2 linked regions of the Nothobranchius furzeri genome follow. Each later gene encodes a partner of the first gene's protein in a complex. Links are inferred from orthologs where the notes say so. Each region holds a gene or a part of one and is shown on either strand. Other genes may lie near its edges.

Region 1 (4,427 bases):
TCTCAGAAAATTAGAATATTCTAAAGGCCAATGAAAAAATGTTTGTTTCTCTAATGTTGGCCAACTGAAAAGAATGAACATGAAAAGAATGTGCATGTATAGCACTCAATACTTAGTCGGGGCTCCTTTTGCCTCAATAACTGCAGTAATGCGGCGTGGCATGGACTCGATCAGTCTGTGGCACTGCTCAGGTGTTATGAGAGCCCAGGTTGCTCTGATAGTCGTCTTCAGCTCCTCTGCATTGTTGGGTCTAGCGTATTGCATCCTCCGCTTCACAATACCCCATAGATTTTCTATGGGGTTAAGGTCAGGCGAGTTTGCTGGCCAATCAAGGACAGGGATACCATGGTCCTTGAACCAGGTGCCGGTGGTTTTGGCACTGTGTGCAGGTGCCAAGTCCTGTTGAAAGGTGAAGTCTGCATCCCCATAAAGTTGGTCAGCAGCAGGAAGCATGAAGTGCTCTAAAACTTCCTGGTAGACGGCTGCATTGACCCTGGACCTCAGGAAACAGAGTGGGCCAACACCGGCAGATGACATGGCACCCCACACCATCACTGACGGTGGAAACTTTACACTGGACCTCATGCAACGTGGATTCTGTGCTTCTCCGCTCTTCCTCCAGACTCTGGGTCCTTGATTTCCAAAGGAAATGCAGAACTTGCTTTCATCAGAAAACATAACTTTGGACCACTCAGCATCAGTCCAGTCCTTTTTGTCCTTGGCCCAGGCGAGACGCTTCTTGCGCTGTTTCTTGTTCAAGAGTGGCTTGACACACGGAATGCGACACCTGAATCCCATGTCTTTCATGAGTCTCCTCGTGGTGGTTCTTGAAGCGCTGACTCCAGCTGCAGTCCACTCTTTGTGGATCTCCCCCACATTTTTGAATGGGTTTGTCGTCACAATTCTCTGCAGGGTGCGGTTATCCCTAGAGCTTGTACACTTTTTTCTACCACATTTTTTCCGTCCCTTCGCCTGTCTGTTAATGTGCTTGGACACAGAGCTCTGCGAACAGCCAGCTTCTTTAGCAATCACCTTTTGTGTCTTGCCCTCCTTGTGCAAGGTGTCAATGATTGTCTTTTGGACAGCTGTTAAGTCAGAAGTCTTCCCCATGATTGTGGTGCCTTCAAAACAAGACTGAGGGACCTTTTAAAGGCCTTTGCAGGTGTTTTGAGTAAATCAGCTGATTAGAGTGGCAGCAGGTGTCTTCTATATTCAGCCTTTTCAGAATATTCTAATTTTTTGAGATACCAAATTTGGAGTTTTCATTAGTTGTCACTTATGAATATCAAATTTAAATGTAATGAACATGGGAAATACATTGGTCTGTGTGCATTGCATGAATATAATGTACAAGTTTCACGTTTTGAATGGAATTACTGAAATATTTTCAACCTTTTGATGATATTCTAATTTACTGGCCAGCACCTGTATGTTATCTTCTCTAATTAAAAAAAAATCTGCTCGCTAGCTACCAAAATAAAAGCGTAGAAGAAAAGCTGGACCAATAGGTACGCGCGCGTCTATGTCACGTGGTCTCAGAAAATGTCCACTTGACGCCAGTATCCCGGTCTCGTTCGAGGTGCTGTTTGGAGTTCTGATTCTGACGGTGTTCCGCAGCTAGCTGAAGGTAAACGTCTTTCCCGAACAGGAAGCTCACAGCTGATTTAGTTTCCAGAGTTCCGTTCAGATTCGGCTCTCTGGACCGGTGTACATCGTGGTCCTAATCCCTCGATGTGTTTGTTAGAAACGGGGAATCTCTTTGCGGATTCAGTTAAGAGTCTGATGTGAATTTGTAAAAGCTAAACGTTTGTTTAAAAAACGCCATTGTTGCATCTGTCCCACGAAGCAAAGTCACGTGTCAGGGACTCGAAGACAACACGCCAGACAGACACAAGGTGTTTGTGTTTACATTCCACTTCAGACACCTTCAGCTACCAGGCTAGATAGTTTGTCCATGATAATCAGACCGGAACTCCTGTCTACTGGAGTGTGTTTGCCTTCATCACCTGATCCTGGATCACTGTTTTGGATTTATAGATTATGGGATGCTGCCAAGACGTTCTGTCATGGAGCGGTTATCTTGGCGGAGTTCTAGTCTCGCTCCATTCTCTTCAGTACAAACTCAAGTGGGTTTCTGTTGCAGGTATGAAGCTCCGGGTCCAACTCCAGTGTAAGAACCTGCATGAGTACATGAAGGAGCTGAGTCCTGATGTCCTAGACCGGCTCTTCAACCACCCAGCAACCTGTCTGGCGGTCTACAGGTGAGCCTGATCAGGTCTGGGTTTGTCTCCTCTTCTCTTCCTCACTACGCTGTCTGGTCTCCTACAGGGAACTTCCCAAGCTAGCCCAGAACTATGTGATACGCATGCTGTTCTTGGATCAGCCACTTCCCCAGGCAGCCGTAGCTCTGTGGATGAAAAAGGACGGTCAAAGGTCAGTTGCTCATCTGGTGTCTCCTGATCCTACGTCTCTGTAGTGGGCCTGAACAGGGACCCAGTCACAGGTGGGTTCTGATTTCCTCCAGCTCTGTGTCTTCTGCAGGGACCATGATGAGTGCGTGTCTGTCCTGACTGGTCTCCGTCTCTGGCACAGTCAGCAGCTGCAGGGTGGCCTGCAGGGTTACACTTTAAATCCAGTTTTCAAAGACAACCTGAGGACTGCTTTGCTGGGGGGGTGAGTGGCTTGAGGACTTCCTGCTTCAGCAGAGCTGAAGCTGCTCTTCCAGAAAAGTCTGATCCATTTGTGTGAACCACTTGTTTTGATCAAACAGTGGCACCGCATGGGCTGAAGAGCAGAGTGCCCTGGGTCCAGATCGTCATGCACGGGACATAGAAAGTCTAGACCGCTACGCCATGGAGCGCTGGGAGGTCATTCTACAGTTCATGGTGGGGTCACCATGTGCAGTCAGCCAGGACCTCTCTCAGCTGCTGGTTCAAGCAGGCCTGATGAAGAGGTAGGTTAGATTAAAGTTATGGGTTTAAGTAAAACTTTAAAAGATTAGAAAGTATCTGCTTTAAATATTCACATTTATTTAAATCTTTTTAATGCATGCAAGTCTGAGAGTAGCTCATTTAGAGGGAAGCGAATCTCATCAGCTTGTTTTATAAAGTTTTTTTATTGGATAATTATAGTTACTATTATAATAATATTCTAATAATATTATCATTGTTTTTACCATGAAACTTTCCCCGAAAGTAGGGATGCACCGATACTGGTATCGGTATCGGTGCAGATACCGATACTATTATCTGTATCGGTAAAAGTTAACCGATACCAGGAACCGATACCAATGCAGTTGCTTGAAAATGGCTTCACTGTAACTTGTCATTTCTGTCCACCTAATATTTTATTTTTGGGATGATTTCTATTCATATATTTTACTTTTTATCTACCTCAAAGTCTTTTCCTGTTGAAAGCAGAGAAGAAAATAAAATCTGTATTCCAAATCATTGCATTTTTTTGTGTGGTAGAAGTGTCGGTATCGGTAATTGGTATCTGCGAGTACTCAGATCCAAGTATCGGTATCGTATCGGTTTAGAAAAAAGTGGTATCGTTGCATCCCTACCCGAAAGTGTAAGAGCTTCAGGTTGTGATGTTTTGGTCAGGTCTTGTCAGAAAAGCAGGACCATGTCGTCACAACTCAGACTCTCAGGACTCATCTCATCGTCTTAGCCTTTAATGTAACATAGACAATAAGCCCACCCCCGTCCCGTAGAGCCAGTTCAGCATTAGCCAATAGCGTTAGACATCTGCTCATGTACAGATGTTATCACAGGTGTACATACATTTGAGGACAGACTTAGATAGGTGCATAGTTGGCGATACTTCTTATGGACAAGTAAGTCTTTAAAAGTGTGTGTGTGTGTGTATAACTGAAGTATCTCCTGAGACGTTCCACCACATAACTGCAGGGTATAAGATGCTGGCAGGGAAAACTTAAATGGAACGCCACAACCAAGTGGCTGGCATCGTGTACAGCAGTGGTTCTCAATCCTGGTCCTGGAGGGCCGGTAAGCGGTTTCTCTGCTCCAACACACTTGATTCAGTGGTTGAATCACCTGTGCAGCAGCTCACCAGACTCTGCAGGTGCTTGTAAATCACCTGCTGATTGAAATCAGGTGTGTTGAAACAGGGTTAAAACTACAACACCCTGGATACCGACCATCCAGGACCAGGATTGAGAACCACTGGTGTACAGAGTGTGGACTGGAAGCCCCGAGGTTAAAGTGGGAAACATCCATAAGGCGGTAGAGGACGAGCAAGTCCACAAAAGTGCAGTTCAAAGGAAATCTAAGATACTGCAGAACACTGAAGCTCCCAGACCTCTGGTAGAGGACACAAGCTTTGAAGGATGAGACCACCCGCGGAGGGTGAGATGGGAATATGTTAAATAGATGAATTAATAAACAGCACAAGGTGAAAATAAT
Region 2 (4,087 bases), on another chromosome or scaffold:
TAAGCTGCTGTTTGGCCCTTCCCACAAGATGCGAAGCAGCAGGGGAGCAGCTGTCACCGACCGAGCACGAAGTCACACGAGTGACTTCGTCAGTAAACACAACAAGCAGGAGAAAATTACAACATGGCTCCAAAAGGTTTGTGTTTTATGTTCTGTCCATTTTAGAATCGCCAATACGGACCTGAAAAACAAAGGAGACCGCTAGCTAGGTGATAACTTCTCACGGGGCCGCACAGTTAGTAACTTTTTTTAAAAGTAAAGCAACCGGAAGGCAGTACGTTCTTTATTCTGAAAATCTCGGGAGCTTCTCTCCATTTCCGCGTCCGATTTCCTGTCTTTCCTTCCCCAAAAATGTCGAACTTGACCCGTTTCAGAGGCGTCGCGTGTAGAAAATAGAACCGGCGCGTAAAGGCCGCGACATGCTGCTCCTGAGAAGCGGCCGACTCGCGCTGCTGACGGCTCCGGTGGAAAAGGTTCTGTTGACCACAGCGGTTCCTATCAGCAGCTATGACGCGCTGCTGACGGCTCCTGTGGAAAGAAGGGGTGACATTTAATTTTCTAAATGAAACAACCGCAGCAACACATTTCTGTTTTAAACCAGAGATTTGTACATAAATCCATCACAGCAGCTTCTAGAAATGACTTTATTAACAATAAAACATTCATTTACACCGTCTCTTCCGAAAAACAAAACAAGCCGTTTAGACTCCTCACGGATGCATAAAAAGTATTTAACTAAAGGTTCTCGTCTCTCCTCCTCAAGTAGATGTTAAAATGGTGAAAAGAAATTAAAACAACATATTCATAAACGGATCCCAGCAGGCAAACGTACAACTCTGTAAAAGTTAGTGAGTCTCTAAAAGTCCAGAGATGATGATGTGTGATGCTGGTTAGGATGTTTAATCAGTTATGATGAGCTCATCACAGCCCCAGTCCTCGTAACTCCCATCAGGAAGGTACCTGCGGATGATGATGGGGATCTTTCTGCCCCTTTTGGAGAAAGAGAAGAAAAGATGAGTGAAGTAAAAAGTTGTTCGTTAAATAAAACCAAAGCCAAAAGTTGGTGCTTGTCAAAGTGACTTACTTAAGTTCTTTCATAGCGATCTGCAGAGGGTCAGTCTCTCCCTCCAGCTCCACCATGACAGGAGCACACATCCTGTTGGAATCAAGCCAGCACAGGAAAAACACTTTTATTCAGGCAGACTGATGCAACATGGGAATATGGGGTTTATAGTGGGCTAATTTCTCTAAAGCTGGGAAAAAAGTGACTCATTAGTTGCAGCCATCCAGCCAGCATTGGAAATTAAATACAAATAATTCTGCATGTAGATTCAAACGCTACTTTTAGCTTTAAAATGGGCTTTGGCATGCTTTTATTTTGAAAGCAGATGAGGCATTTACACAAGCAGCCGCCTGTTTCCAGGAATTTCTGCTGGTGGGAATTCAGAGAGCCCAAACTCAAGACAAAAACAGAATCAGGAGTTGATTTTACTGATTTACCTAAATAACCTTCTGTTGATACTAGGTGTTAATGCGCTATTTAGCATATTTAAGTTTTTACTTAACCCTCCCACTGTCTTCATGGGTGACCCCGCCAGGAAAGTTGACCACTGAGCAGGATGGATGGTTTATCCCTTGATGTCTACATGGCAGGGGTGAGGTGGTGCTCACTTCTCACCCCTGCCACATGGACCCAAGGGATAAACCATCATCCCTGCTCAATGGTCAACTTTCCTCGCGGGGTCACACCCATCAGGACAATGGGAGGGTTAAATGTCTTTTGGAAAAACGAAACTTTTACTGACATAAATCCCGAAATGAGCCCAGCTAATTTCACTGAACATCTCTAAATACTAAGTTTAGGGAGGAAACCTACTCTCAGTGAAAATGTGTTTAACGAGTTAAAGATCAAACACACTCAGCTTTAACCGTGATCTCATGTAAACACACTCACGCTATCTGCAAGGCTCTGGTCCCTAGCACTCTGGCCCGCTCGTATTTCGTCATATACGGTGTGGTGATCCTCTTCTGGTTGGCCTGCTGGCCTTCTCCTGCAGGTAGGATCTGCACATTCTCCTGATCCTCCTATTCACCAGAGCAAAACAAACAAGCTCAGACCAGGAGACAGCTTCATAAAAGTCTCAAGTGGTGATCCGTCTCTGTAATAACTCACATCTTCGACGTTCTCCAGGTCGTCTAGTCCTTCGTCCTCCTCTGCATAATCAAAATCTCCATCATCGAAGCTACGGAGTTAAAACCTTTGATCAGATATCTTAAACTTTAGGTGATTCATAACTTTTAACAAGCTTTATTGAAAAAGTACAAAAGTACGTAAACTTGGATGGGAGACTGAATAAAACAGGACGTAAGCAGCAATACACAGAATAGGCAAGGATCATAATAAACAATACCGTGTGATGCTAATCGAGTTAGCATCCCCGTTAGCTTACGTCGATTATACAAAATGACGCAGATTATTTAAACGATTTCTTTACTTACTTGTCTTCGTTGTCCGACATGATAAATTTTTAGAGTAGTATATATCCGTGTAAAATATTTTAACGTTTCTAGGCTACACTTTTGTAACCAACACGAATCCACATGAACGTTGCACTGGCTGGTACGCTACTAAACATTCCGGTCGGCCAAAAGAACCTCGTTAGAGTTCCCTTTCCGGTCTGTCTTTTTTTTTTTTTTTTTTTTTTTTTGATGTTTCAGAAGCATCAACAAGGTTTACCGTTGCAACACTGCCACCTTCTGGAGTTAAGTCATTTTCCATTTAGTTTGATCTGTAAATTCTACCAACTGTAGGTTAAATAAAGGCTGAATAATCCCCATTCTCTCTCTCTCCTCACTTTCTTTAATGAATTGTTATAATCAAGTGCTAAAGATTTAAGGAATTTGACACGTAAAAAAATATTATTTATATGTGCAATTAATCAAATTAATGCCAAATTATTTCACGAATAAATCATTACATACATAAATTGTTAAATGGGCCATGGATGAAAATTTTTAATTATTTTGTTTTAAATCCTAAAATGCACACCGACTCCTCCAAATCCAAGGCCTGTTTATTGACTAGAGAAGACTGGGGCTGAATCCAGCGATGAATTAATGAGAATTCTTCCGGTCGCTTCCCAGGAGAAGTGTTCCAGGCATGTCTTGCCTGTAGGAGGCCCCCAGCTCGATCCAGGACATGTTGGAGGAATCATCATGTCTACTGGCCAGGGATTTCCATGGGGTTCTACCGGTGGACCTGACTGAGATCCTGGAGAGAGGACCATTTCGACTTCACTGCCAGCTCCGCCATGTAATAATTACTAAAATTGTACAGTTTAATGATTATCTGTAATTTTTACATCAAATAAATGTTTTTATTTATAGCACATTCATTAAAATCATATATACATAATTATTTCATATTTCAACCAACTAATGACACATTCAATTAATGATATAAATTTTTTATGTACTTTTGGCCCTCTATTTGGTTGTATGTCATGGCTAACGAACGTGGTCTTAAGCTTATTATCTGCACAAACAACATAAATCATCTCACGTAGAGCTAACGTGTCTGTCAGAACGTCACCCAAACATTCATGACGCGCCTATTTTAAAAGGTGACACACCACAAGGCTGCCACCTGATGGTCACTGTGGTACACTGCAATTTCCCTCATTTAACAGGGCCGGTTTCCACCAAAGTGAAATAAATAAATAAATAAATAAATAAATAAATAAATACATACATACAAAGGACCAGCTTTTTAGAATCAGAATCAGAAGGTTTTATTGCCATATGTGTGCCAAGTCACAACATTAGGAAATTGCTGCGGTATTTGGTGCAGAAGGTAAGATAGAAAGAAAAATTTAAGAGATACGCAAATATAGGAAGTAATAAAACACTCATGATAAAATTATTAATGTAAAAAGTGGCAAGAATTAGAGAAGCAGCGATCTACCCCGTGCAGGTACTAATCTGTTTTTCAAGCACAGCATCGGATCACGTGACTGGGACCAACCGACTTGAGTGGGCTGCCGTAGGATTTTCGTTGGAAAGTCCAACTGCAGAGGGGAAGAAACTG

The links.
Region 2: gtf2h4 (region 1) and polr2f share a complex: the UniProt entries of both Homo sapiens proteins name them as parts of the TBP-based Pol II pre-initiation complex. The link is inferred for Nothobranchius furzeri from reciprocal best matches to the Homo sapiens genes GTF2H4 and POLR2F.

What each region holds. Positions count from the first base shown.
Region 1 is NC_091751.1:25,555,136-25,559,562, forward strand, and holds the start of gtf2h4 (general transcription factor IIH subunit 4), read left to right. Parts: upstream 1-1,504; 5' UTR 1,505-1,627; intron 1,628-2,143; 5' UTR 2,144-2,145; coding exon 2,146-2,261; intron 2,262-2,328; coding exon 2,329-2,433; intron 2,434-2,541; coding exon 2,542-2,673; intron 2,674-2,770; coding exon 2,771-2,953; intron 2,954-4,427. UniProt on the Homo sapiens protein: Component of the general transcription and DNA repair factor IIH (TFIIH) core complex, which is involved in general and transcription-coupled nucleotide excision repair (NER) of damaged DNA and, when complexed to CAK, in RNA transcription by RNA polymerase II.
Region 2 is NC_091752.1:66,413,966-66,418,052, forward strand, and holds polr2f (DNA-directed RNA polymerases I, II, and III subunit RPABC2), read right to left. Parts: upstream 2,656-4,087; 5' UTR 2,520-2,655; coding exon 2,500-2,519; intron 2,244-2,499; coding exon 2,174-2,243; intron 2,086-2,173; coding exon 1,955-2,085; intron 1,157-1,954; coding exon 1,085-1,156; intron 991-1,084; coding exon 900-990; 3' UTR 631-899; downstream 1-630. UniProt on the Homo sapiens protein: DNA-dependent RNA polymerase catalyzes the transcription of DNA into RNA using the four ribonucleoside triphosphates as substrates.